Elephas maximus indicus: one gene and its partners. The protein of the gene in region 1 interacts with the protein of each later gene in a biochemical or structural test. Links are inferred from orthologs where the notes say so. Each region holds a gene or a part of one and is shown in the gene's direction. Other genes may lie near its edges. The genes, in order: SNTA1, SLC6A3, proto-oncogene Mas and ADRB1.

The links.
Region 2: the proteins of SNTA1 (region 1) and SLC6A3 interact in a test that uses a peptide from one of them, tested with the Homo sapiens proteins (2 studies listed by BioGRID and IntAct). The link is inferred for Elephas maximus indicus from reciprocal best matches to the Homo sapiens genes SNTA1 and SLC6A3.
Region 3: the proteins of SNTA1 (region 1) and proto-oncogene Mas interact in a test that uses a peptide from one of them, tested with the Homo sapiens proteins (2 studies listed by BioGRID and IntAct). The link is inferred for Elephas maximus indicus from reciprocal best matches to the Homo sapiens genes SNTA1 and MAS1.
Region 4: the proteins of SNTA1 (region 1) and ADRB1 interact in a test that uses a peptide from one of them, tested with the Homo sapiens proteins (2 studies listed by BioGRID and IntAct). The link is inferred for Elephas maximus indicus from reciprocal best matches to the Homo sapiens genes SNTA1 and ADRB1.

The regions. Positions count from the first base shown.
Region 1 is NC_064843.1:36,114,073-36,121,011, forward strand, and holds the start of SNTA1 (alpha-1-syntrophin), read left to right. Parts: upstream 1-3,902; 5' UTR 3,903-4,014; coding exon 4,015-4,324; intron 4,325-6,939. UniProt on the Homo sapiens protein: Adapter protein that binds to and probably organizes the subcellular localization of a variety of membrane proteins. May link various receptors to the actin cytoskeleton and the extracellular matrix via the dystrophin glycoprotein complex.
Region 2 is NC_064820.1:12,234,894-12,242,476, forward strand, and holds the start of SLC6A3 (sodium-dependent dopamine transporter), read left to right. Parts: upstream 1-4,564; 5' UTR 4,565-4,703; intron 4,704-6,496; 5' UTR 6,497-6,541; coding exon 6,542-6,827; intron 6,828-7,583. UniProt on the Homo sapiens protein: Mediates sodium- and chloride-dependent transport of dopamine. Also mediates sodium- and chloride-dependent transport of norepinephrine (also known as noradrenaline). Regulator of light-dependent retinal hyaloid vessel regression, downstream of OPN5 signaling.
Region 3 is NC_064819.1:232,290,590-232,296,911, forward strand, and holds proto-oncogene Mas, read left to right. Parts: upstream 1-4,812; coding exon 4,813-5,790; downstream 5,791-6,322. UniProt on the Homo sapiens protein: Receptor for angiotensin 1-7. Acts specifically as a functional antagonist of AGTR1 (angiotensin-2 type 1 receptor), although it up-regulates AGTR1 receptor levels.
Region 4 is NC_064834.1:64,997,252-65,005,168, forward strand, and holds ADRB1 (beta-1 adrenergic receptor), read left to right. Parts: upstream 1-4,909; 5' UTR 4,910-5,012; coding exon 5,013-6,401; 3' UTR 6,402-7,773; downstream 7,774-7,917. UniProt on the Homo sapiens protein: Beta-adrenergic receptors mediate the catecholamine-induced activation of adenylate cyclase through the action of G proteins. This receptor binds epinephrine and norepinephrine with approximately equal affinity.

The DNA.
Region 1 (6,939 bases):
CCTCTGGAAGCCCTGCCTGGGGTTATGTGGAGAGCCAGGAGAGAGAGAGAGAGAGAGAGCGTGTGTGTTTGTGTGTGTGCACGTGTGTGTTGGGAGGCCAGTCTGAGCCACAGCAGGGAGGCATCAACTGACCGCAGTGGATGAGCGGAACATTCCTCCAACTACACGGATCCTGGGGGTAGCTGCCAAGGGTACAGCTGATTGCTCCTGCCTCAGCTCTGTGATCAAGAATTCACACACACACAAACGCATGTACATACTCATAAACATATACATACATATACACAAAATACACACATACACATATACACAAACACACATGCACACAACAGTGTTTTTGCTGGCTCTGCACCACTCTTCCTTCACTGCTAGTTTTCTCTTATTCTACACACACCATCCCTCTTCTTCCTCCCTTCCCATTGTAGCCACAGAATACAGCACCCCAGGGGAGGAACTGTATCAAGCCTCTTTCCCACCAAGTTTGTCTGGGGCTCATTAATTCTTTTTTAAGCAGGGCAGTACGTGGGGGGACTTTTAAGGACCTGGCTCAAGGCTTTGGTCCTGGGAAAGTAAGCTCACCTCCCCCAGCCTCTTGCCTTCCGCCTGATGCCTTTTCTCTCTTCTTTACCGGTAAAGTTTCCAAAAGTAGGATACACTTCTCATTTATCACAACTGCTTATCCTCACATTTCTCAGGCTGCTCTCCAATCTTTAGCACAGTCATACTTCAACAATGATATACAATGCTATATTCTCTTTCTTTCTTCCTCTCTCTCCCCTCCCTCCTCCTTTTCTTCGTTCCCCTTTTCTGCTTTTCTTTCTTCTATATATTTATTGCATGTCACATATATGCCAGACCCTGGGTTCTTTTTGTGTGTGTGTCTGTCTCTTCGTCATGCATGTTTCCCCCGAAAGTAAGGCTATTTCATTGATGTCTATTTCCCAAGATAACTGCACCTCATATTTTTGGAATGCTTACTATGTACAGGAATTGTGCTAAGCAGTTTAGCAGCATTATTTATTCCTCTTAGTAATTCCAAGAGATAGTACCTTTAATATCCCCATTTTATAGATCACGATATGAAAACTCAGGGGTTAAATAACATATCCAGGGTCACACAGACAGGAAATGGCACAATGAGAATTTGAACTCAGGAAGTCCGAATCCAAAGCCCATGGTCTTAACCACTATAGGATCCTGATTCCTAGTGGATTATATGTTCTATAAGGTGAGGCTCCAACTGTCTTGTTTATAACTTTGCACTATGTCTGGCACATAAAGGATGTCCAATAAATATTTGTTGAATGAATGAATGAATTTTAAACTCACCCCTTGCTGCTATGTGGGCTGCAGAAAGGAGAAGGAGGGATATGGGCTTGGAAGTCAGACAGTCCTGGCTTAGAGTAGAGGTCTATACTTACTAGCCGTGTGCCTCAATTTTCCCATCTATAAAATGGGGATAATACATAGCCTGTGCAAGATTTATATGAGGTTTAAATGACAGAATGTATCTAAATCAGCCAGCTCATGTACCAACATATAGCAAAATGTGATTGTTAAGGTTCTGCATCAACTTGGCTGGGCCATGATTCTCAGTGGTTTGGCAGTTATGATGCAGTTTGGCAGTTATGATGCAGTTTGGCAGTTATGATGCAGTTTGGCAGTTATGTGACGACGTATCACCTCCATGATGAGCTCCGATATGTGATCACCTCCATGATGGGCTCTACTGTGAGCAGCCAATCAGTTGAAATGGAGTTTCCTTGGGAGTGTGGCCTGCATCCAATACAGCTGGACTTTCTGGCACGGCTGGTGAGCTTTCGCTCACTCTGGAACCTGCAGCTTGCTCCTGTTCATCTGACCTTCAGTTCTTGGGACCTGAACTAGCACCTTACCTGCCGATCTCAGCATTTGTCGGCCTCTGCAGCCTGTGAGCCAGAGGCCTGTTGTATGAACTGCCAAGTTTGTGTTCGACAGCACCAGCAGCTGGAAAAGCCTCCAGCCTGATCCATGGACCCTGGAGTTTCCAGGCTTTACAACTGTGAGAGCCATTTCCTTGATATAAATTTTCTGCTCTCTATATATCTATAGATGCTTCGCTGGTTTTGCTTCTCTAGAGAACCTAGCCTAAGATACAAACATTGAATAACTTGCATTTATATATTACATGTACATGCGCATAATATACATATGTTTTATATGTGGTCTCAGTGGATTTTCAGTGGCATAGACCCACTCCACTAATGTTGGACACTTGGGTTTGTCTAGTTATTTGCCAACCTAAGGCTGCTGTGGACAATCTTATATATGTACCAATTTTCTTCTGAGTTTTTTCTTCATGATGGCATCTTATGTGGAGACATCTAACCAAAAGGCTCAGAAAATGTACATACTGATGTGGCCCTACCTATTTATTGCCCAACACATCCCTAGGGGGGAGGATGGAGACAGGGGATAGACCTGAGGGCAGATTGGGGCAGAGGCAGGGCTTTTCTGATAAGGATGCACTGGGGTCAGACAGCTCTGCCCCACATAAAACATGTGGCCTAGGCCAATTTTACCATCTAAATCCAAGTTTTCCCTTCTGTATAATATGGGGTGGAAACACTGGTGGCACAGTGGTTAAGAGCTATGGCTGCTAACCACAAGGTCAGCAGTTCAAATCCACCAGGTGCTCCTCGGAAGCTCTATGGGGCACTTCTACTCTGTCCTATAGGGTCATTATGAGTCGGAATGGACTTGAGCGCAACAGCTTTGGTATAATAGGGGGTATTCCTAACAGTAGCTACTCCATGAGGCTACTGTAAAGATAACACATGAAAAATTCTCAGTGCTAGGCCTGGCCAATAGACAGCATTCGATAAACGAAAGTGGTTATATTGATAGCACAGTAATTCACAGCCCACAATGTGTTTTCACATCAATTTGATCCTTACACAAGGCTTGAGTCTGGCCATTTCACAGATGAGGAAACTAAGGTTCAGAGAAGTGAAGTGACTCGACTAAGGTTGACATGGAGCCAACAGAGTATCTGAGCTGGAACAGAAAACCAAGAGCCCACACCCATAGTCCAGCCAAAAGTCCTGGGTTCTCCTCCCGCCAGACTTCAAAGTGCAAGACTTCAGGCTTCACTGGGGCTCGACGTACTCAGTCAAGAGGGTTAACCTCTGAAACTCGCCTCCAGTTTCAAAGCGTGAAGCGTGTTCACCCTCTCGCCAAGCCCTAAATACGGCTGTTTCGCGCTTATCCCATGGGCGGGGCTCTAGAAGTCACACGCCACACTAAGCCACGCCCACATACAACTCCCACCCACCCCCAACCCAAACGGGAAACCAGCCCTGTCCAAGCTACCCCAGCAGCAGCCCCAACTGCAAAGACCCTCTTGGATCGGCGTTCACCTCTTAAAATCAAGCCCTGAACTGGAGTCCGGCGCTCCGCCCTACGCAGCCCTGCCCCGACGCCCACAGCCTCGCCCGAGGACCCGTGCTGTTGCCCGCGTTCTTGTGCGCCCACCTTTGTGAGCGACGATCCGGGCCTTCGACGGCCTTGAGCAGCGCGGAGTCTCCTCCACTGGAACCAAGGGCCCCGTCCCCGCCATGAACCCCGCCCCCTGCATGGCCCGCCGGGACACCCGCACCTCGCCGGCTCCTCGCCTCCCTCGCGGGCCGGCTGCCCAGTGGGTCCCACACTGCTTCGCCCCGCCCCGGCCTCCCGCGGGCCGCATGGGGCCCCGCCCCTAGCCGCAGGCCCCGCCCACAGACCTCCCCGCCCCAACTTCGAGTCACGCCCACAGACCACCCCCCCAGCTGCGGGCCACGCCCCACAGGTCGCCCCGCCCCAGCTGCGGCCACGCCCGCAGATCGCCCCGCCCCTGAGGCGCTACCCGCGGCGGCCGGGCTAGCGTGGCGGCTGGCCCAGCCGGGCCCCGCTGCCCTGTGCCCTGGGCGCTCGGTCGGAGCGGGCCGGCACGGCGGGGCCGGGCGAGCGCGGCGGCCGGGGGCCCCGGAGGCGAAAATGGCGGCAGGCAGGCGCGCGCCGCGCACCGGGCTGCTGGAGCTGCGCGCCGGGGCAGGCTCGGGGGCCGGCGGCGAGCGGTGGCAGCCGGTGCTGCTCAGCCTGGCGGAGGACGCTCTGACCGTGAGCCCCGCCGACGGCGAGCCCGGCCCCGATCCCGGCGCCCCGCGGGAGCCGGAGCCCGCGCAGCTCAACGGCGCCGCTGAGCCGGGCGCGGCGCCCCCGCAACTGCCCGAGGGGCTCCTGCTCCAGCGGCGCCGCGTGACAGTGCGCAAGGCCGACGCCGGTGGGCTGGGTATCAGCATCAAAGGTGGGCGCGGTGGCACAGAGGGCACAGGGTCGTGGTGTCTGTGGGGCCGCCGGAGGCGCAGGGGTCGTGGAAGCTGGCGGCTCACTGAGGACATGGATTTGGAGGCCTTCAGTCTGAGGGAATGGGGAATCTGAGGGAGCTGAGGGAACCCGGGGCATGCGGAGCACCAAGGTCGGACACTTAGAGCCCCTGACAATGCAGGGGAGCCCCTGACAGTGCAGGGGGGGTCGTCAAGGACCGGAGGTCTCAGGTGTCAGAGAGGGCTAGGAGCGCACCAAGGACATGTGGGTGGGGAGTTCTGTGTGGAGACATAGGGACCTGAGGAGGGCAACTAGCATGGGCACCAAGGACAAGAGGGGCAGCTGGAGAGCAGAGGGTGGAGAAAGGCGAGGCCTCGGACACTACTGGGGTGGTGAGGGGGAGTCCCTGAGACATCACCAAGTGGGGGCAGGGCATGGGGTCTGGGAAGGACGGGGGCAGAGAGCAGACGGTGGAAACACAGGCTTCAGTCACAAACAGGGCACCACAATGGACCTAGAAATCTGAGGAAGGCTGTGCACCTAGCCAGGGGGCCCTGACCTCTGGGCTTGAATCCTGATCCGACCCTCCCCACCTTGCACAGGATTGACAGGGGCAGACCCAGAGTTGCTGCTCCTCTGTGAGCTCCCAGCCCCCAATACTGACAGCCTTCTTTGGGGCTCAACCAGATTCCATTTGAGTCCAGGATCTGCTGTGTGAACTTAGACAAGTCACTTCCCATCTCTGGACCTCAGTTTTCTCAACTGTATAATGAGGATAATGATAGGGTTGTGATGTTTCTTTGACACCAGATGTCTAAAGTGTTCACCATGGCAGCACATAGTAGGTGCTTGGTTAGTTACTGCTGTTAGATGAGAGGAAAAATGGAGGCCAGAAGAGACTCCAGAAACAACTAACCATACTGCTTAAAATAATCCCTGCATACCTTCAGCTGCTGTGCTCACCATTCCTGCCTGTCTGTTTCTTAGGGTTCCAGCCCCCGTATCACCTGAATGTGTACTGTCCTCTCTGTTCATTGGTGCCTTCAGACCCTTTGGCCTGGGTGTGGGTATGAGGATGGAGGTGAATGCCACCATTGAGTGCCAGGTACTGTAGGCTCAGGATCTACTACATCCTGACAACAGTGATGAAGGGAAGGGAGTATAACCCCCATTTTGCAGGTGAGGAAACTGAGACTCAGAAGGTGAAGCGATTTTCCCAGGGTCACACAGTGAATAGCTGAGATTTAAACCTCAGTTATGAGGCTACCATCCCCCTGCCTCCTGCTCCACGTAGGGAGTGCCCATTAGCATTGTTTCTTTCCTGTGGAAGGGTAAGTCCCCAGGCACCCAACAGTGGGTGTCTAAAAGAAGGGAGTGGGGAAGCCAGGGAGCAGGCACTAGCTTTGCCCCCAAATCCCAGCATGGCATAGGGCAAGTGGGCCAATCCAAAAATTGTACACTCAGTGTGTCAGAGAAGGAAGGAACTTAGAGTTTATATAGAGTTCCATTTCTCAGATGGACAAACCAAGACCCAGAGAAGAACAGAGGCTTTCTAAGGTCACATACAGTTACTCCCTAGTTCCATGCTTCCGGGTGGGTAGGAGGGTACTTTTAGGAGGCTCAGGGTAAGTACTAGTTCCATCTAATTCCTGTGGTTGCCATGGTGACTGCCCTTCTAGGGTCCAGTGCAGCTGCAGGCAGCCAGGAATGATCATGGCTTCAAACTGGATTAAAATCCCTAGTTTCAGGTCAGAGAGGCGCCCCCCGCCAAAAAAAAAAAAAACACCAGTTTTGTTCAAGTCCAACTCACAGTGACCCTATAGGACAGGGTAGAACCACCCAATAGAGTTTCCAAGAAACACCTAGTAGATTTGAACTACCAACCTTTTAGTTAGCAGCTATAGTTCTTAACCACTATACCACCAGGGTTCCCAGGTCAGAGATGGCAGCAAAGATAGAAAGCCCTTCCTCTCCTAGACCTCAGTCTGAGCAGTTTGACAGGTAAACTCTTGGGCTTGTGTGGAGGGTGGAGAAGCGTTCCAGTCCCAGGTCTGCCACCAACTTGTTTTGTGTTTGGAATAAGGACCTCCTTTCTTTGAGCCAGAGCCCTGGTGGCACAATGGTTAAGAGCTCGGCTGCTACGCAAAAGGTTGGCAGTTCGAATCTACCAGCTGCTCCTTGGGAACACTGTGGGGCAGGTCTACTCTGTCCTTAGGGTTGCTATGAGTCAGAATTGACTCAGTGGCAATGGGTTTGGTTTTTCTTTCTTTGGGCCACTAGTTCCTCATTTTCAAAACTCTGGGGATGGACCAGGAGTGTGATACCTGAGAACCCAGCATACAGTCTACTATAGGGTTAAGAATGTTGGATCTAGAGCCAGCAGACCTGGGTTCAAATCCTGGCTCTGCCACTTACTAGCTGGGTGAACTAAAGCAAAGGGCTACTCTCCATACCTCAGTTTTCCTAAGAGCAAATTGAGGGTGCCTGTGTGATAGGGCTGTTGTGAAGATGTGCCGAGATGACATTTAAACGATTTAGCACAGTGCCTGGCATGTGGTACTGTGAACTAATGTGAGCCATTACTACTATTTATTT
Region 2 (7,583 bases), on another chromosome or scaffold:
AGTCATTGGTTTTCCCGAGTCTGTTAATAAGGGCTGCATCATCTAGTTACATTTTTTTTTTTTTTTTTTTTAAATCTGCTTTGTTGAGACATGTTTGGAAAAAAAGGCCTTGTGTGATGGTGCTTGGCACATCAGATCCTAGGGGGCTCCCTGAGGTCCCCAACACCTTCCTGGTCACCATTCCTCTCCCCTGATCCTAATGAAGCTTAGAAGAACTGTTCCTGAGAGCTTTCTCAGTGGTTTCTCAGACTTCGCTTTGTACCAGTCCAGTCCTCAGGAGCGGTGGGGATGGGCAGAATGAGGAGATTAGCCTCTAGGTCCGAGCCGGAGGGGCCCCACGGTGGAGGAAATGGGAATGTGGGGAGCCAGGGCTCTGAGGTCCTGTGTACCAAGGGGAGGGAACACTGCTGAGCAGGGGCATGTGTGGCCAAGACAGGCGTAGTGAGCCTAGGACTCGGGTGGGCACCCCATTACAGGCATATCTCAGAGAGATCGTGGATTTGGTTCCAGACCAGTGCAATAAAGTGAATATCGCAATAAAGCAAGTCATACAATTTTTTTTTTTTTTGGTTTCTCAGGGTATTTAAAAGTTTGGTTTATACTACAGTCTATTAAGTGTGCAATAGTATCGTGTCTAAAAAACAACACACATACCTTAATTAAAAAACACTTTCTTGCTAAAAAATACTAACCATCATCTGAGCCTTCAGCAAGTCATAATCTTTTCGCTGGTGGAGGATCTTGCCTCCATGTTGATGGCTGCTGACTGATCAGGGTGCTGGTTGCTGAAGGTTGGGGTGGCTATGACAATTTCTTAAAATTAGACAACAACGTTTGCTGCATCAATTGACTCTTCGTTTCATGAAAGATTTCTCTGTAGCATGTGATGCTGTTCGATAGCATTTTACCCACAGTAGAACTTCTCTCAAAATTGAAGTCAATCCTCTCAAATCCCACCATTGCTTTACAACTAAGTGTATTTAATATTCTAAACCCTTTGTTGTTGTTTCAACGATGTTCACATCATCTTCACCATGAGTAGATTCCATCCCAAGAAGCCATTTTCTTTGCTTATCCATAAGAAGCCCATTGTTGTCGAGTCAATTCCAACTCATAGTGACCCTACAGGACAGAGAAGAACTGCCCCATAGAGTTGCCTGATTGATTCGAACTACTGACCTTTTGGTAGCAGCTGTAGCTCTTAACCACTACACCACTAGGGTTTCCTATCCACAAGAAGGAACTCTTGATCCGTTAAAGTTTTATCATGAGTTTCCAGCAATTCAGTCACACCTTCAGGCTCTACTTCTAATTCCAGTTTTCTTGCTATTTCCACCACATCTGCAGTTATTTCCTTCATGGAAGTCTTGAACCCCTCAAAGCCATCCATGAAGGTTGGAATCAACTTCTTCCAAACTCCTGTTAATGTTCATATTTTGACCTCCTCCCATGAATCACGAATGTTCTTAATGGCATTTAGAGTGGTGTCATGGATTGAATTGTGTCCCCCAAAAATATCTGTCAACTTGGCTAGGTCATGATTCCCAGTACTGTATGATTGTCTACTATTTTGTCATTTGATGAAATTTCCCTAAGTGTTGTAAATCTTACCCTACGATGTAACGGGATGGATTAGTGGCAGTTATATTGATGAGATTAGGTAGTGTCTTAAGGCAATCTCTTTTGAGATATAAAGGAGAGAAGCAAGCAGAGAGACAGGGAAACCTCATACCACCAAGAAAGCAGTGCCAGGAGCAGAGCCACATCCTTTGGACCTGAAGTTCCTGCGCTGAGATGCTCCCAGACCAAGGGAAGACTGATGCATCACAGGGACCTTCCTCTGGAGCCAACAGAGAGAGGAAGCTTTCCCCTGGAGCTGGTGCCCTGAATTTGGACTCGTAGCCTACTAGGCTGTGTCAAAATAAACTTCTCTTTGTTAAAGCCATCCACCTGTAGTATTTCTGTTATAGCAGCACTAGATGACTAAGACAAATGGTGAATCCTTTCCAGAAGGTTTTCAACTTACTTTGCCCAGATCCATCAGAGGAATCACTATCTACAGCAGCAATAGCCTTAGGAAATGTAGTTCCTAAATAATAAGACTTGAAAGTCAAAATTACTGCTTCATCCGTGGGCTGTGGAACGGATGTGTTAGCAGTGATGAAAACAACATTAATCTTCTTACACATCTCCATCAAAGCTCTTGGGTGACCAGGTGCATTTTCAATCAGCATTAATATTTTGAAAGGAATCTTTTTTTTTTTTTTCTGAGCAGTTGATCTCAACAGTGGGCTTAAAATATTCAGTAAGCCATGTTGTAAACAGATGTGCTGTCTTCAAGGTTTTGTTGTTCCATTTATGGAGCACAAGCGGAATAGATTTAGCGTAATTCTTAAGGGCCCTAGGATTTTCAGAACAGTAATCGAGCATTGGCTTCTACATTAGTCCCTAACTAGAGAGTCAGCCTGTCCCTTGAAGCTCTGAAGCCAGGCATGGACTCCTCTGCAGCTCTGGAAGTCCAGGATGGCGTTTCCCTCCAGTATAAGGCTGTTTCGCCCGCCTTGAAGTCTGTGGTTCAGTGTAGCCAGCTCACCGATCATCTCAGCTGGCTCTTCTGAATAACTTGCTGCAGCTCCTACATCAGCATCTGCTGCTTCACTGTGTACTTTCATGTCATAGAGGCAGCTTCTTTCCTTAAACCTCATGAACCAACCTCTGCTAGCCTCAGACTTTTCTTCTGCAGCTACCTCACCTCTCTCAGCCTTCATAGATTGAGGAGAGTTAGGGCCTTGCCCTGGATTAGGCTTTGGTTTAAGGGAATGTTGTGGCTGGTCCCATCTTCTATCCAGACCTAAAACTTTCTCCATATCAGCAATAAGGCTGTTTTGCTTTCTTATCATTCGTGTGTCCACTGGAGTGGCACTTTTAATTTCCTTCAAGAACTTTTCCTTTGCTTTCCCGAAATGCTTAACTGGTGCAAGAGGCCTAGCTTTTGGCCTGTCTCAACTTTCAACATCCCTTCCTCACCAAGCATAATCATTTCTAGCTTTTGGTTTTAAGTGGTAGACATGCAATTCTTCCCTTCACTTGCACACTTAGAGGCCACTGTAGGGTTATTAATTGGCCTAATTTCAATATTGTCATGTCTCAGGGAGTAGGGAGGCCCGAGGAGAGGGGGAGAGGTGGGGAAAAGCCAATCAGTGGAGTAGTCAGAAACACACAACACTTATCCATTAAGTTTGCTGTCTTATATGGGTGCAGTTTGTGGTACCCCAAAACAATGACAATAGTAACATCAAAGATGACTGATCAAAGATCACCGTAACAGATATAATAATAATGAAATTTTTGAAATACTTCACAAACTACCAAAACGTGACACAGAGATGTGAAGTGAGCACACGCTGTTGCAAAATGGCACTGATAGACTTGCTTAACACAAGGTTGCCACAAACCTTCAATTTGTAAAAAGCACATTATCTTCAAAGTGCAATGAAACGAGGTATGCCTGTATAGTGTGCCCAGCAAAGAGACGATCTGGAGCAAGGCTGATGCAGGGGTTTGGGTTATCCTGGACAGGATGTGCACAGCCAGGTCGGGGCTGCTCACCAACGTGCCTTCTCTGCACCTGGGCTCCTGGACCTCCCTTAATGGACCCAGGGCTCCAGTCCCCCAAGTAAAAAAAAAATAAAAAATCCCAAGTACTGAGTGTCAAATCTTGCCTGGGAACATTTTTGAGAAGGAGACTTTGGGTCCACGTAGATCAGAGCCACGGATCGACCGCCTGCGGCTTTCAGAGCACACCAGGCCCGCGCATCTGGGAAAATCGTTTTCCAATGCGTGATAACTGGAGCCACTTGCTTCCAATCGATGAGCGCTGGATGCTGGCAAAGGGCAGGTCAGCACCACTCAGCGGAGACTTCAGCTCCCTTGCCCCGACGACGCCGCCGAGGAACCGGACTCCGAGCAAGGCCCGCGCTGGGGGCCACAGAAGGATTCGCGACTGGGTAGCTCAAGCCTGGGCGGCTCCAGGGCGGGCAAGGGGACAACTGGCCATCTGGGCGCGCAGCCCGAGGAGGGAAGGAGGAGACCCCGGCTAAGGTGCTGACGAGCTCAGCTCCGGTCCGGCCTGGGGAAGCGAGGTGGATACCCTCCGCGGACCAGGGAGCCCCGCCCCGCGGTCGCCCACTGCTCGGTGCTGGGACTCCGCGAGAGGGGTCGGGAGAGGTGGCCGCGGAGGTCTCCGGGGTCTGGGGGAGTGTTCGGTGAGATCTGGGGCTCCGCGCACCCTCCCGCCAGCTCCTTCCCCGCAGGTGCCTGCTCCTCCGGCGTCGCTGAGGCCAAGTGGCGGTCTCCAGGAGCCCCAAGAGCAGCAAGAGGCCACCGGGCAGCTGCGGGAGGTGTGGCCGGGGTGGGAGTTGACCCAGGCTGTTCCCGCTGGGAACCCGGCCGAGCTCGGCCCCGCAACACCCCGGCCCGAGGTGACGCGCACGACCTCGGGCCGAGAGCCGCGGCACCGCCTCCTGGGGCGCGGGGGGCGCGGGGCGGGGCGGGCAGAGGCGAGGCTGGCAGGCGGGGCGCCCAGCGCCACATAAGAGCCGGCCGCGGTGCCCAGCGCTGAACCAGAGCCGAGCCTGCGTGGACGCTGCGGCCGGGACCTGCGCACAGTCAGGCGGGCCGACGAGGAGCCGTCGGGCGGGCAGGTAAGGACCGGGCCGAGGGCGCGCCGGGCGCCCTCAGTGCGATGGCGACCTGGAGACGGTCGGTGGCCCCGGGGTGGCCCCGGCCCCCCCCTCCCCCGCGAAGCGCCTGGCCCGGGCGCCGCGGGCAGGGCGGAAGCACTGGGATCTCTGTGCGCTTCCCTCGCGCCAGTCCTGTGGCGGAAACTCGGGGCGCGCGGGTGTTTGTGGCTGCGGCTTCGTATCCCTATTCCCCCTTTACCGAAATAGACAACGTGAAGGTGAGCTGATCTGGGTCCTTTCTTCTAAACACATAACGCGGCCCCTGAGATCCGATCCGGGAGCATTGGAAGGAGGTGTTTTTGTCTTTGATTTTCAAGACCTCAAGCGGAGAGTTGCAGGGCTGTGCGGGTCGCTGGTGCAGGGAAGGACGGGGGCGAATGACCATTTCTCAGCAAGCGGCTTCTTGTCTTGGGGGCCGTGAGGAAAGACGCTTTATAAGAGACCCACCTTTTGCTTCCTATACCCCAAACATCGTCTCTGAGGCCGAGGGCTCAGGAGTGGGCTCTGGTTTTCTCTAACTGTTGAGCGTGGGGTGGGGTTCTGAGACGTGGGGAGGGGGTCCAGGATCTGATCACCTGGGTCTTGCACTCTGAATAGCTTCCCACTCTGTCCCAAGGTAAAACCCATTGCGGTCCACGCCCCAAAGCCTAGGCACCCTCCTCCACGCGTTTTTTCCAAGTCTGAGGAATGGACTGTTAGGTTTGTCACTGGGAAGTGAAGAGGCCACTGAAGACTGGAGAATAAAATAACTTAGGTCGTGAGTGTTTGCACAGACTTGGATGCAGAGAAAAATGGTGGCACTCCAGCTTCTGCGATGCTGTTCTCTGCCTACATATGCGGGCACTGGACAGTGTGGGTGTGTGCAACTGAAACACTGCTGTTGGATCCAAATACTGTCTCCCCCACCCCAAGAAAAACCCTCTCTGAAGTTGCTCTCGGGCTGTGAGGGGCCACCTCGCCCTTGGCTGTGGCAGTGTATGTGTAAATTCCCCTAGTCCTCTTTGCTTCATTACTCAAAACTTTTATGAAAGCAGTTTGAAAAGGACTTCCCTGGTAAAGTGGATAAGTAGACCAGTTTGTCCCGTTTCTCATGTAAAATTTAATGTGCTCTGTTCATCTCTGCAACTTTCTTGGGCGGAATCCATGAAGTCTCCCAGGGCCACAGGTGAACGTGGATGGTACAGGCATTCCTTAAACTGTTCTCATAGTTATTTTTTAAACGTCAATTACTGTGGCTGCTTTCCATGATACACAGTTTACTCTTAATTTTATTACTGAATGTAAAGAATACATATGCAGACTGTTTTTAAGATTTGCTCTTGAATGGTATTTGAAGATTGTAAAATCACTTCCTGGAAATGTGCGGGAGCCCGAGGTGGGGGTAACATCTTCATGTTATTATTGGACTGCATAATTAGAGATTACATAAACATGGCACTTTGATAAGGAAGAAGAGAGGTGCATGGGGAAAGAGGGAGCAAAGCCAAGCTGTCCTGAGCTCCCTACCGGCTTTCCCTCCCCTAACCCCACCAACAGAACCTCCTTACCTCGGCTCCCTAGGCCTTCTCTTTGATCCAGCCTCTGACCATTCTGAACCTGGGCTGTGCTTAGGTTCTGGGAACACACCTGTTCCACCCCTAAGACGATGAACGGCAATGCATACGATCTCTCCTCTTGAAAGGAGGCACATACATAGTCTTGATCTGTTGAATAATTGCATTCCTGTGTGTGTTCATTTTTTATGTGGGCTGAAGACCAAGAGGGAAGAATCGTAGAATTTCCAGATTCCAAGTCTGCCCATGAGTAAAACCAAATGCTCAATTGGACTGATGTCTTCCATGGTGGCTCCAGCTAAGGAGCCCAATGCCATGGGCCCGAAGGAGATGGAGCTTATTCTGGTCAAGGAGCAAAATGGAGTGCAGCTCACAAACTCCACCCTCATCAACCCAGCCCAAACCCCTGTAGAGCCCCAAGAGCGGGAGACCTGGGGCAAGAAAATCGACTTTCTCCTCTCTGTGATTGGCTTCGCAGTGGACTTGGCCAACGTCTGGCGGTTTCCCTACCTTTGCTACAAAAATGGTGGTGGTAAGTCCCATCTCAGCCCTGCCGTATGCTGCTGCTATACTGGAGGGCCCAAGGGGCAGCTAGAGGCAGTATGGGTAAGCACTGATAAGAAAATAGTGTCCTCTTGGGCGGTGATGAGTACTGGCTTAGTATCCCAGATGGATTTTGCAAAATTATAGAATACGAGCTCAAAGCAATCTGGCTCCATCTCTGAGTTTTGCATTTGAGGAACTCAAGGCCAGGAAAGAAGGAACTTGGAGGAAGTAGCTAGAGGCACCTGGGCCCTGCTTCCTAGGTCCAGCAGTTGTTTTCACTTTGGGAAGAGAATTCTCAAAGGCCCAAAGATTGGTATTGTTGGTTGCATACATGTATTTGCAAAGCATTTGGAGGCCCTTGAACTTGGATCAGGAGGTAGAAGTGTTTTCTCTCCCACTCTCTAACCCAGTCATCATCTGGGCTTTGGGTAGACAGAGAGAGGAAGACAATGAGGAAGAAGCAAGCAAAGAGACTGGGTAGAAGACAAAGGGTGAGGGGTTCAAAGCAACAGGAGATGCCCCTGGAAATGTGCCCATTTCCACTCCTTTCCCCCATCATTTCCTGAACTCAACTAGCCACACAATCATGTCTGTTTCTGGACTTGAATCAGAAAATTAAAATAACGGCAGGGCCACCCAAAACCTTCAAGCTGAGAAGCCAATTAAATTGGTGGTCATTTCCACAAGTCTTTATTGGCCCTTCCGCACCTCCACAATGTACTGACTACTTTGTGCTATGCAA
Region 3 (6,322 bases), on another chromosome or scaffold:
GCAAATCTCCTCTAATCCCTGCCTCCACCAGAGGGGGCAGCACCTGGAGGTGGAGTTTTCTTTCAGTGATTAAGTTTGGTGTCACCTGAGGGGAAAAACCCAAAATGAAACATTTAAGGTCTTACTTCCACAGTCACGTTCAGCATGAGGAGGCCACCAGGTGGTGTTTAGAAACGCCCCAGTGAACCTTGCTGCCCTAGGTGAGCCTCCGGGGAACAGGGAGTCCAGTTCATCCAAAAATCCTTGTTATGGATTGAATTAAAAACCTGAACCCGCTGCCGTCGAGTCGTTTCCGGCTCATAGTGACCCTACAGGACAGAGTAGAACTGCTCCATAGGATTTCCAAGGCTGTAAAATTTTACAGTAGCAGACTGCCCAATCTTTCTCCCTCAGAGTGGCTGGTGGTTTTGAACCAAGAACCTTTAGGTTAGCAGTGGGGGCTTAACCACTGTGCCACTAAGGTTCCTTGGATTGAATTACTTCCCCCCCCACCCCCCCCCACAAAAGATATGTTGAAGTCATAACCCCTGGTCCTCAGGAATGTGACCTCATTTGGAAATAGGGTCTTTGAAGATGTTATCAGTTAGGTCAGCATAGGGCCATATTGGAGTAGGGTGGGTTCTGGTCCTATATGACTGGTGCCCTTATAAAGAGAAGATCCACAGAGATAGGGGGACAGAGATGCTCCAGCTGCACGTCAAGGAACACCCAGAGGCGTAGTGAGGGGGCGGACAGAGGGGGGCGTGGGGGGACCAGATGAAGCGTGGCATGACATTGCCAGGCGCCATAAATATGAAAGGTGCCTGACTGAGGCCGCCGAGGGCGCAGGCATGTCTGCGGACGTACCACAGCTAGAGCGCATTACCCTCGCTACACCTTTGACCTTGCCCTGGAGCTGGCGCCCTGAATCCCGGCTTCCGGCCGCCTGAACTGTGAGAAAATAGATTTCTGTTTGTTAAAGCCACTCACTTGTGGTATTTCTATTATAGAAACATAGATAACAAAGACGGGAACCTCAGGGGGCAGTGAGTTTCTGAGGAACAACTCAGAAAAGAAGAATGAGAATGGTCGCGCGACTCGAAGAATGTAATCAGTGTCACTGACATGTCCATGTAGAACGGCTGAATTGATGTATGTTTCCCTGTGTATTGGAGCCCTGAGGGCGCAGTGGCTAAAAGCTCGGCTGCTAACCAAAAGGTTGGTAGTTCAAATCCACCAGCCACTCCTTGGAAACCCTATGGAGAAGTTCTACTCTGCTCTATAGGGTACCTATGAGTTGGAATTGACTCGAAGGCAACATGTTTGGCTTTTGGGTTTGGTTTTGGGTATATTCTCAAGAACAACAACAAAGTAAGTAAATAAAAACAGTTAGGCACTCGAGAACAGGGAATACAAAGGCAAACACAGCTGGAATCTGCCCTAACTGATGTTCTTCTAACACCTCACGCTCAATGCTCCCTGAGCCAAGCTCTGAGCCCTCTAAATCCCCTGCTGGCTGCTCCTCCTGTCCCTAATCTTGGTCCTTAGTAGTTTGTCTCCACAGCCTCATTAGATGGAAATCTCTGTCTCCCCCTCACCCCTCACAATCAGGCAGGCCTGAGCTGGCTTCTCTGGAATGTCTCTGGAAGCCGTTTTCTCCTTTCACTCCTTCAACCACTATCCTAATTATTACTTCTCACCAGGACTGTTGCAACAACCCACTCTGGTTCCTTTGCCCCATTTGTTGCCCCTTCCGCCTAGCCTTCAGACTACCCCCGAGAAACGTTTCTAAAGCACAGTTCAGGTCATATCCCAGCCTGCGTCAAGCCTTTTAATGGCTTGATTACAAATGGCACATTTCTTACACTGTGGCTCGTGACCCACATGCATTAGAATCCCCTAGACTCCGATTTTTCAGAGTCGAGGGCCCCATCTCAGACTTCCTGAAACAGGAATGTCCTGGAGTTTACTTTTTTAATCAGCACCCCATGTGATTTTTAAGCACCACCATTGGGTAAGCAATAGCCTTTAGAATAGGACTGACACTTAAGAAGCATTGAAACTAGCCTTTTGTGCTTCCTTCTAGCTGTTCATTTCCTTATAAATCAGACCTTCACCCAAAGGTTGACCAAAACCCACCCAAACTCACTGCTGTCGAGTTGATTCTGATGCATAGCAACTCTACAGGACAGAGTAGAAGTGCCTCATAGGGTTTCCAAGGCTATAAATCTTTATGGAAGCAGACCGCCACATCTTTCTTCCATGGGGTGGCTGGTGGGTTTTAACCACTGACCTTTTGTTTAGCAGCCAAGCACTTTAACCAGTGTGCCACTAGGGCTTTTAAAGGTTGACCAGACTCCTCAAATTCCACCAAGAACACTCTGTACCCTCCTGCCCGCATGCCTTTGTCCATGCTGTTCTCTTTTTTTAATTACCTTTCTTTCCCTTCCTCAACTAACAAACTCCTCTTGACCCTTCAAGGCCCAGCCTTATTAGCCCTTCTTGAACTCCTGATACACAGCATTCTGCTGTGTGCTTGCCCAACACTTAATCAGGTCTCTTGTCTTCCACTTATTCTGTTGAATTAGATTTGGTTGACAACATGTTTGTCTGCCCCTTGCAAAGCTATGCAGAACACTGTGTCTTATTCATTTTATTGTCTTAACACTTATTCCAATGACTTAGACCATCAGCAAATCAAATGATATCCAGAACCAAACCAGGTCTTACTGCCTCCACCACTGCACCTTGGTCCAGGCCGCCATCAGCTCTCCGTCTGGATCTGGCCTCCTTCCTTCTGCCCTTGTTCCCCCAGAGTCCAATCTGATCACAACCACCATGGTCAGTGTGCTTTGCTTATCTCCCCAGCACAGATTATTTACATATGTATTCACGTGTTGTTGCTGTTTTTGTTGTTTATGACTGATTGTCTCCCCATTAGAATATAAACTTCAAGAGGTTGGGGTTTGTCTGTTTCACCCACTGCTGTATCCTAGGTGCTTAGAACAGTACCTGACATGAAGTCAGCAAATACGTAATAAACTCAATAAGCATTTGATGGATGAATTGGGTTGGGGGAAGCTCCCTTCTGGGAACAACACAGTCTTACCTACAAACTTGGAACAAAGCTTGTTTCTACAACAGGTCTTGGTCAGCCATGCTCTGGTCTTGTGAATTCTGGTCCTTATCCTGTGTTCCTAAGGGTGTTTGTGGTGTGCATCTTCTCTCTGATTGCAAAATGAAAGGAGATTTGGCCCATTGAAGATAATCTTTAGCACCCTGCCAGAGCAGCTGAGGAAAGCATCGGTGGGAAAGAGTGGGATTAAGATGGCGTCAGCAGGGATGTTCCCCGGTTCCTGGAATCTTGCCACAGGGGAGATAACTACCCAGTTCACTGACGGGAAGGCCCACTGGTAATCCAGGCACAGCTGTCCTCAGAAGAAACTCAGAGCCCTGCAAATGCTGGGGATCTGCTGATTCATTTCTGGAAACGTCTAATATTATCAAGCTCCACAACATAGAGCATCCATACCCTGTATCTGCTTCAAGTGAGCTTATGAGGAGGAGGCAGATATCAACTAATTTAATCAATTTTTGATCAGCTTCAGAAAGGTTAATTATTTTGCACATGAAGGGGCCCTGGTCTGCAAGAGCAGCATTCAAAAAGCAAGGATAACTAGTTAGACTTGGTGCCAGGGTGGTGATCCCTGCTGGCTACCTCCTTTTTCCTTTCACCCACGGTGGGAAGTGGGTGAGGCGTATTTGTGTCATGACAGCAGGGCGGGTTGTTGCAGCTATTTGTTTTGCAATGACTAAAGAGCGAGGCAAAGTTTCTGAAAATTTTTGCTTTGCAGCCTCAAATATTTAGTATTTTTATCAGCTTCCCGTCAGTAGTTTGATTAATATCTGTGTCAATAGTGTTTTCTTGGATGGTCTCTCTATGGTATGTGGAGCCATAAATACACCTCGTTAGTGCTACCATCTGTTCCACAGAGAGCACTGGTTTGCATGGCGTACCTCATCTGAGTAGGTGCCCAGCTTTGCTGAGACCATATACGACAAATGCCTTTTCATTGTTTGCACTTCAAAAAATACTGATGCACTGTTAAACAGAACTTTACCAGGCATGCCCTCTCAATTACCCATTGCATACAGCACTTTATGTATTAAAAAAGTGGCAACAGCAACATTGCCCAAGCATGTAATTTTTCATTGCATTCCAGTGCCATTAACTGGGTCCCTCAGGTGAGGAAATGGACGCACAGAAGATGTAATGATTTTTCAAAAAGCCATTCAGAAGGCTCGGGCAGAGCTGGAAATGGGCATCAGGAATTTGAATGCTCTTGCCATGCTGTGTGCTTTGGGGCACAGATAATACAGAATTAAGGGCTCTCAGGGATCAAAAAGGAGCTCTGGTGGTGCAGTGGTTAAGTGCTCAGCTGCTAACCAAAAGGTCAGTGGTTCGAACCCACCAGCCACTCCATGGGAGAAAGATGTGGCAGTCTGCTTCTGTAAAAATTTACAGCCTTGGAAACCCTATGGGACAGCTCTACCCTGTCCTATAGGTTTGCTATGAGTCGGAATTAACTTGACAGCAATGGATTTTTTGGCTTGGGGATCAAAAATCATTAAATCTATTCTCTCACTTCACAAAATGTTGAATTTTGCTGTTAGAAAGAGAATTGTATAGACTATTAAAAATCCTTTTATAACATAAAGATTATGACCCATAACTAAAATTCAGCCTTTTGCTCCAGTTCACCAATTTTCATGATATATATATTTGTACTTGGTTACAGAAAATTACCTGAAGAGCCCAGCCTGCACTCCCTCATGGATGGATCAAACGTAACATCATTTGTGGCTGAGGAGGCCATGAACGCCTCCACGAGCCAGAACACCTCCACGAGGCCTCCGCACCAGGAAATCCCAGTTATGCACTGGGTCATCATGAGCATCTCCCCGCTGGGGTTTGTGGAGAACGGACTTCTCCTCTGGTTCCTCTGCTTCCGGGTGAGAAGAAACCCCTTCACGGTTTACATCACCCACTTGTCGATCGCAGACATTTCATTGCTGTTTTGTATTTTTATTCTGTCTGTTGACTATGCTCTTGATTATGAGCTTTCTTCTGGCTATTACTACACAATTGTCACTTTATCGGTGACCTTTCTGTTCGGCTACAACACAGGCCTCTATCTGCTGGCAGCCATTAGTGTGGAGAGGTGCCTTTTGGTCCTGTACCCCATCTGGTACCGGTGCCACCGCCCCAAACACCAGTCGGCATTCGTGTGTGCCCTCCTGTGGGCACTTTCTTGCTTAGTGACCACCATGGAATACGTCATGTGTATCGACAGTGGAGGGCAGGGCCACCCTCGAAGCAACTGCAGGGCGGTGATCATCTTCATTGCCATTCTGAGCTTCCTGGTCTTCACTCCACTCATGGTGGTATCCAGCATAATCTTGGTAGTTAAGATCCGAAAGAACACAAGGACTTCCCTCTCCTCGAAGCTGTACCTGGTCATCCTGGTTACCATCATTGTATTCCTTATTTTCGCCATGCCCATAAGACTCCTTTACCTGCTCTACTATGAGTATTGGTCAACGTTGGGGACTCTGCACCACATTTCTCTTCTCTTCTCCACCATCAATAGCAGCGCCAACCCTTTTATTTACTTCTTTGTGGGCAGCAGTAAGAAGAAGCGGTTCAAGGAGTCCTTAAAAGTGGTTCTCACCCGGGCTTTCAAAGATGAAATGCAACCAAGGCGCCAGGAAGACAATGGTAATACCATCACTGTTGAGACCATTGTCTGAGGGCTCTGGAGGGAAATCGTGGACAAACTAGGGGTACATAGACAATTTTTAGTTTGTGCTTGGAATACAATTTCTGTGTCTCCTAAATATGAGACTGAGACCCTGGGGTGCAAATGGCTAAGGGGCTCCACTGCTAACCATTGGAGGTTGAGGTTCATGTCCACCTAGGAGTGCCTTGGAGGAAAGGCCTGGCAATCTACTTCCAAAAAACCAGTCATTGAAAACACTATGAAACATGGTTCTACTCTGACACACACAGGGTCTCCATGAGTCAGAGTCGAATTGACGGCAACTGGTTTATGGGTTTCAATATGAGACAGAACACCCATTCCATGTACATGAGATACTAATTAACGATGAGATTGTACTCTTGCCCTGTATCTTCTGGAAATGCCCAGGTACATGTCAGGCACCTATCATTGCTGTACCTATCAAATAACTCAGTCCCTCCTCAGCTATCCTTGGGACATATTCCACAGACTACAAAAATTAGCAGGAAGATTTCAAGATGTGCACAGGAAAAGGAAAAAAA
Region 4 (7,917 bases), on another chromosome or scaffold:
ACCGCTGTCTTCTGTGTTCACTGTGATCACCGTGGATGGAGTGGCTTGTCCCTGTGTAAACTGTGGTTGTAAAACCAACATATGACCTTAAATCGCAGCCACGGGCGCAAGCTGTTCTTTGATTACTTAGCACTAAATGACTGTTTTAGCAGTTGTGTTTCTCATGTGAAGAGAGATATGTCTTCTCTCTGAAACAGTCACTTGAGCTCTGATTAATAAATTCCCCCACCTATTATCAGTTTCAAGACAATTTTTGCTAGCCAACTGTTTGGCCACGCTTCTTGATGTTTTACTTGGAAATCTGTCCCTCCCCAGGACTTCCCTGGGCCCACCTTCCACCAGCTGTGGAGGCAGTCTACTCCCCTTTCTTTTTTAACTTATGTTCTAGCAAAATCAACTCAAAAATGGAAATGTCTTTGCCGGTACCTGGTGCTGTTGACTTGATTCCAACTCATGGTGACCTCATGTGTTTCAAAGCGGCTGTGATCTTTCAGAAGTAGATCAAGAGGCCTTTTTTCAGAGGCATCTCTGGGTGTATTTGAATAGCCAAACTTTTAGTCAGTAGCCAAACACTTAACTGCCCACCCAAGGACTATATATTATGATGAGCCCACTGTCTTTGAGTCGCTTCCATCTCATAGCAACTCAACAGCACAGAGTAGAGCTGCCCCATAGGGTTTCCTAGGCTATAATCTTTACCGAAGCAGACTGCCACATCTTTCTCCCATGGAGTCACTGGTAGGTTCAAACTGCTGATTTGGCTAGCAGCCAATAAGATAGTACTTTTTATTATGCAACTTGCAGGGCCCCTTTGGAAAGCCTCTTGCCTATGTACTTCTTTATTCATTACTCAGTGTGGTATCTCATGAGCCTACCTTGAATTTGTAAGGTGTTTTGAAATGTTTACATGGAAATGCTGACTAGGCTATAGAAATTTGACTTATTATGACAAATTATAAGCATGAGTGAAAATTATAACTCTCAAAACACTAGATTATTTCTCATATGAGTAAATGTGAAATGGTTTAATATAATTAAAATATAAAATATTTATGAATCAATGCTAAGTGTTAATATTAGGTAAATATTAATAAACATGGAAGATATAAAAATGTATAGGGCAGCCCTGGCTCTTGGCGAGCTTATAATCTACAAGGAAATGCATTTCTGTGAGTGATAAAGCTAGAATTTGGTTGTAGAGGTACTTAAGTTTCTCTGAATTTCTGTTTAAAAAAATACATTAAATTAGAAACATTCAAAACCAGAAGGGTATTCTTGCAGGAGTTCCCAAGCAGGGCTATAAGCATAAAGAGAAAAACCCATTTAAAAATTAAATAACAATATAAGAGGCATCAAAAGGCAAGAGATTGCTAATTGCCACCTAAATGGCAACTGGAAGAGTAAGTCAGAGGAAGGAGAGACCATGTCTCGCAGTCAGGGACCAAAAAAAAAAAAAACCAAACCCATTGCTTTCATGTCAACTTTCTTAGCAGCCCTATAGGACAGAACAGAACTGCCCTATAGAGTTTCCAAGGAGCATCAGGTGGATTCGAACTGCCGACCTTTTGGTTAGCAGCTGTAGCATTTAACCACTACGACACAAGGTTTCCAGCAGTAGGGGGCAGGGAAGAATATAAAAGAAATAAGACTTCAGCCAGGTCTTGAAAACTGAATCTAGTGAGACAGAGGAGGAAGGGATTCTTGGTGGAAGCAATCAGCGGGAAAGAGTTGAGAGCCAAGAAAGGAAAGAGTTAAGGACTGCAGGTTAAGGTGACATGGACAGTTCCAATGAGAGAGAACTCTGGAAAGGCCATTTGGAACTGGACTGTGGAGGACATTGAATGTCAAGTAGAGTTCAGGTTTCTGAACAGAAAAGCATGTTGGTCAACGCCCTGTTTTAGAAATATTAACCCGACTGTGGTATGCCAGAGCAAATCAAGGGGACGGACTAGAGGCAGGGAGATGACATAGAGCCCGTGGCAGGTTCTGGTGTGGCGTGACGGACGTGAGATGGGAACAGGAGAGGTGTGGGTGGAAAACACTGAGAGAGAAGCACACTACCTCTCAAGTGTGCTGATTAGCATCATTGCTGGAGCTCTGTCATTTTCTAAAGTATTGTCCAATGTGTGGGTTCAGAGCTGATTCATTTTAACAATTGTAGATGGAGGATGGAGGGATGGAGGAGTTATTCATTTTGAAGTTGCAACCCCCAAAACATTTAATATCTGTGTAAGTTGATATGTTGAACCTTTTCCCCTTGATCTTGGATTCTCATCTAAACACTAAAAGTATTAGCCAAAGTATGTCTCAAAAAGTCATGAAATGGAGGAATTAAGGGAGATATGGGAACATTTTCTTTTAAAAACAAAGCTAATTCAAGTTCAGCATGGACTCTTCCAAACTTCTCAGTCAGTACGCCTGCAGGAAAGCCCCAAGAATAGCTGGCGCCCCTTTATGCTTATAGCCCTATTTGGGAACTCCTGCTAGAATACCCTTCCGGTTTTGAATGTTTCTGATTTAATGTATTTTTTTATACAGAAATTCGGAGAAACTAGATTTAAGTACCTCTACAACCAAGTTCTGCCTTTACTCACAGAAATGTATTTCCTTCACCCTTCAGGGGCACTTAAGGTTGCCACACTCTATTCTGGTAACACCACTTGACAGAAAGATGGCGCCAGATAGAACGCCTTTCCTCCACATTCCCCACCCCACAGCCAGGCACTCAGAACCTCTTTTCTGGGCAGCATCAATTTCAACTCTTTCTAATCCCCTGGTTATTTTGAGACTATCCCTTGAAGGCCTGAAAGAAGGATGCATTCTCCAGCCTCAACTCTTTCTAGACCCTCTTGTTTCCTGGCTCTCTCTCCTCATCCTCCTCAAATTGGCAGAAGTAGGCCGGTAAGTCCTAGGGGAGGGGCGAATAAACAAATAAATCACTCCCCAGTTGTAGCACTCTGAATACCAAGTTTGGACCTAAAGCATTTCTATATACTTAGATTTAAGTAAGAGAAGGTAGTTAAAACTACTTAACTTTATAAACTTAATAGGCATTGCTTTTTGCCCTTAAGCTGAGTAGCTATGGAAGTCAGTCTCTCTCTACAAGGTAAGAATATAAATTTGGTCCAGAAGTTGATGTTCCTTCCAGATGCTGATTTATTTTTATGCCAATGCTAGAAAGATGTGTGAGCATTATATAACATTTTCACATACCCTTGCATAAAAAATTAAAAGTGGTTTACTTCTCAAAGATGCAGTGAAACATTCTTATTTTTCAGGCCTGAGCTGAGGACATTACCATGGTCGATCAAATTAGAGAAGAGGGTTTGCTGTCGCTCTGATGTTGATGGCAATGCTATCAGTCCCCCCACATAATCCACCCACAAAGGGCAGATTTCACTGATTTCAAACCGATTCCCTAGCAACTCAAAAGCCACTGGTCTATCTTTAAATGCTTTCAGATTTTAAACCTCTTGAGTATTTATGTATTTTCTTTTCATATCCTTCCAAAACTAACCCCAGAGTTTTGAGAAATCTGGAAACTTGGGCAAAGGAGAAAACAACCCTGCAGACCAAGAAGTCTGAAATCGTATTTTTATTCCTTCAACCCAAACTGGCAGGACCTTTTTGTTTGTATTGACCCAGCTCAAATTATAAAACCATATAAGTAATAAAACACAAAATACAGGTGTTATCCCTGAAGGTAAAAAGACTGAAATGTAATTAAATGTGCCCTTTCTTCGTGGCGATGTCATTTACTTTGTAGGTTAATATTTGTGTTTCCTAAAAATCTCTCTGTTTTTATTACAAACACACACGGTTGCATCATACTCACACATTCATTATTTGGGACTGAGGAGTGTGTGTTTTTCCAACTCGGTCTCAGCGTTAGCTGTTGGATGCACAAACATCCGCCTCCTTTCTGCGTCCACTGCACTGGTACAACAGGAGCCGGTTGCAAGAACAGCGCCCCGAGAGCGTTGCTGACAGATGCGAGGTTTGCTCCTGCCACGCGCTCGGCTGGGAAGTTTCCTCTAACCACTGACACCCCTCTCCAATCCCCCGAGCTGACAGGACGCAGGCTGGCTGGGTCCCCTTTTGATGAGGGAAGGGTTTTGCACACACCCTGCTAGGTTGCCCGATCAAGAAACAATCTCGCTGCCAAACTCCTCCAACCTCAGCGGACAGACTGTCTAAGGCGCTCTGGCGCTTCAAGAACACCGAGGTCCCCTCCCGGCTAAAAGGAGCACGCGCTCTGCTCTGCAGGAGACCGGGCACTGGAGGTAGAGGGGAGGCCAGGGGGCCTGGGGGTGCAGAAGAGTTGGGGGAGGCGTTGAAGAGAGCGGGATGTGGAAGAGGGAGCCGGGCGCTGTAGGCAAGAGGGGCTTAGAAGCGAACGGAGCGTAGAAGCCAGTGGGCGGGGGGGGGGGTCACAGGACGGGGCGGGGACGCGGAAAGGAGCCCGGCGCGGTAGCCGGCGTTGGAAGAATGGGATGCAGGACTGGGCGCGCGCAGGAACCGGTGGGCTCCGAGGTGGCGCTCGCTCTGAGCTCTGCCCCCAGCTCCCCCAAGCCACTTAATTGCGGGTGAGAGGGAGGTGCGGGGACTTGGGGAGGGGGGGAACAAGATAGGGGCGTGCCTTGGCCCTGATAGGCTGCAGGAGCCTGACGCGACGCCCAGGGGGTTGGCTTGGACCGGGTGGGAGGGGGGTGGGGGGTGCTGGGTGCCGGAGCTGCGAGCCCGGCGCGCTCAGAAACATGCTGAGGTCCCGGCGGCTGTTCCAGCAGCGGCAGCGGCTCCAGCAGCAGCGGCGGCGGCGGCGGCGGCGACAGCGCTAGGCTTTGGCTCAGGCTGGGAAGGCGCCCGGCGTCGATGCCTCAGGTCCGGCACCGCGACTGTCCTGACCCGGCCGCGACCTGCCTCGGAGCGCCCCGCTGCAGCGGCTTCTGGGGTGTTCTCCAACCACGACCCAGCCCCGCCACACCCCCTGCCCCTGGCCTTCGCAGCTCGGCATGGGCGCGGGGGCGCTCGCCCTGGGCGCCTCCGAGCCCTGCAACCTGTCGTCGGCTGCTCCGCTTCCCGAAGGCGCGGCCACAGCCGCGAGACTGCTGGTGCCGGCATCGCCTTCCCCCTCTTTGGTGCCCCCAGTGAGCGAAGGCCCCGCGCCGCTGTCGCAGCAGTGGACGGCCGGCATGGGCCTACTGATGGCGCTCATCGTGCTGCTCATCGTGGCGGGCAACGTGCTGGTGATCGTGGCCATCGCCAAGACGCCGCGGCTGCAGACGCTCACCAACCTCTTCATCATGTCCCTGGCCAGCGCCGACCTGGTCATGGGGCTGCTGGTGGTGCCGTTCGGGGCCACCATCGTGGTGTGGGGCCGCTGGGAGTACGGCTCCTTCTTCTGCGAACTTTGGACCTCGGTGGACGTGCTATGTGTGACGGCCAGCATCGAGACCCTGTGTGTCATCGCCCTGGACCGCTACCTCGCCATCACGTCCCCCTTCCGCTATGAGAGTCTGCTGACCCGCGCGCGGGCGCGGGTCCTCGTCTGCACCGTGTGGGCCATCTCGGCCCTGGTATCCTTCCTGCCCATTCTCATGCACTGGTGGCGGGACAAGGGCGAAGAGGCGCTCCGCTGCTATGAGGACCCCAAGTGCTGCGACTTCGTCACCAACCGGGCCTACGCTATCGCCTCGTCCGTCGTCTCCTTCTACGTGCCCCTGTGCATCATGGCTTTCGTGTACCTGCGGGTGTTCCGCGAGGCCCAGAAGCAGGTGAAGAAGATCGACAGCTGCGAGCGCCGCTTCCTCGGCGGCCCCGCGCGGCAGCCCTCGCCCGCGCCCTCTCCGACCCCTCCGCGCGCCCCTGCCCCGGTGGCCAACGGCCGCGCTGGCAAGCGGCGGCCCTCGCGCCTCGTGGCCCTCCGCGAGCAGAAGGCGCTCAAGACCCTGGGCATCATCATGGGCGTGTTCACGCTCTGCTGGCTGCCCTTCTTCCTAGCGAACGTGGTGAAGGCCTTCCACCGCGACCTGGTGCCCGACCGCCTCTTCGTCTTCTTCAACTGGCTGGGCTACGCCAACTCGGCCTTCAACCCCATCATCTACTGCCGCAGCCCCGACTTCCGCAAGGCCTTCCAGCGCCTGCTCTGCTACGCGCGCCGGGACGCCCGGGGCTGCCATGCGGCCCCCGGCGACCGGCCGCGCGCCCCGGGCTGCCTGGCTGTGGCCGGGCCGCCACCGTCGCCCGGGGTCGACGACGACGACGACGACGACGTTGGGGCCCCACCGCCCGCGAGCCTGCTGGAGCCCTGGGCCGGCTGCAACGGCGGGGCGGTGGCGGACAGCGACTCGAGCCTGGACGAGCCGACCCGCCGGGGCTCCGGCTCGGAATCCAAAGTGTAGGGCCGGGCGAGCTGCGGGACGCCAGGGCCCCGCCACGCTGCCGGCCTGGGACGCGGAGTCTGCGTCCCGGGGAGGAGGAGCGCCCGGGCACCCTGGAATGGCTTCCCAGGGGAAAGGGGAGAGCTTGTGTTTACTCAAGACCGAAAGCAGGTGAATGCGACGCCCACAAACCTCGTCTGAATCAGCCAAGACAAAAAGAAAAGCCACGCACCGTTGCACGAAAAGGAAAGTTTGGGGAGGGATGGGAGAGTGGCTTGCGGGTTTTGCTGGAGTTCTTTGATGTTTGTGGTTGGCCTTCTTCTGTGTGTGCGGGTAATGCATCTTTAGATTTTTGTTTTCCCCCTCCACGTGGTTTTTTGACACTTTTCGACAAGGACCAGAGTGAAAGTTGGGTGGATAGGGGAAGGGAGAAGCATTAGGGAATAAAAGTATCTCGTTGGCGTCCACCCCATTCCAGGGGAACAGGAGCATTCAGCTGGGGCGGGGTAGGGGACAGCTTGTCAGGGCGTGTTCCCTTTTGCTTTCCAGACAGTTTTCATTTTAACTTCTGGGTAACGATTCCTCCTGTTCTTAAAGCAAAGCGAAAGGATGGATGCAGAAATCGTGTTTCAAGCCATTTTCAGCTATTCTTAGAACAAGCCTCACCTTGCTTAGCTTTCGCAGGGCTGACTGGCTGCCCCCGCCCGCCCCGCGCGCCTCGGTGGTCAAGCTGAGGGCGTTCTACCTCACACTGTGCATATTGCACAGCAAGATGCAAAGCCTTGTTTATATTAAACAGTTTATTTATGTATCAATATTAGTTTGAAGGACCAGGCACTGAGCCTTTGTGACATGTGACTCTGTCCCTTGAAGACGGGACAGAAAACTTTTCAAAAAAGGAAACAATTCTAGTATCAAAACAGATAACTGCACATTTGGGTAAAAACAAACAAAAAAGAGAGTGGCTCAAAATGCCATTTTTGCACAGTGTTAGAAATTTTGAAGTCCACAGATGTTACTTGCACAAAAAGAAATGAAATGTTTTTATGGGGTGGGGAAGTGTCTTAAAAACTAAAATAAAATTCGAACTCTTCTTCTGTTGTCTATTGTTATTTGAGCTAGCGATTTACTGGGAAAATACCTTTTTATACTCTTTTATCATGGTACTGTAACTGTATCCATATTATAAATATAATTATTTGAAGGTTTTTTTTTTTTTTATGTCCAAGTGTCCCCATGAATCTGCTGGTAAAATTTAGCACTCGTGTGTAAATTCTATTTCCTCTTGTGTGTTTTACCAAGTATTTATACTCTGGTGCAACTAACTACTGTGTGAGGAGTTGGTTCACGTGCAATAAATGCCAGTGAAGCACAATCAAGGTTATGTATGTGTGTTTGTAAAGGGTCAGTGATAATGGAAAGGACAGCTTGTTTTGCTCAAAATACAGATGGGATTTCCAAGATAGCCCTTCTAAAAGCTTTTCATGACTCAAAAATGTCTGTAGACCAAAAAGACAAAAAAAAAAAAAAGGCGAGC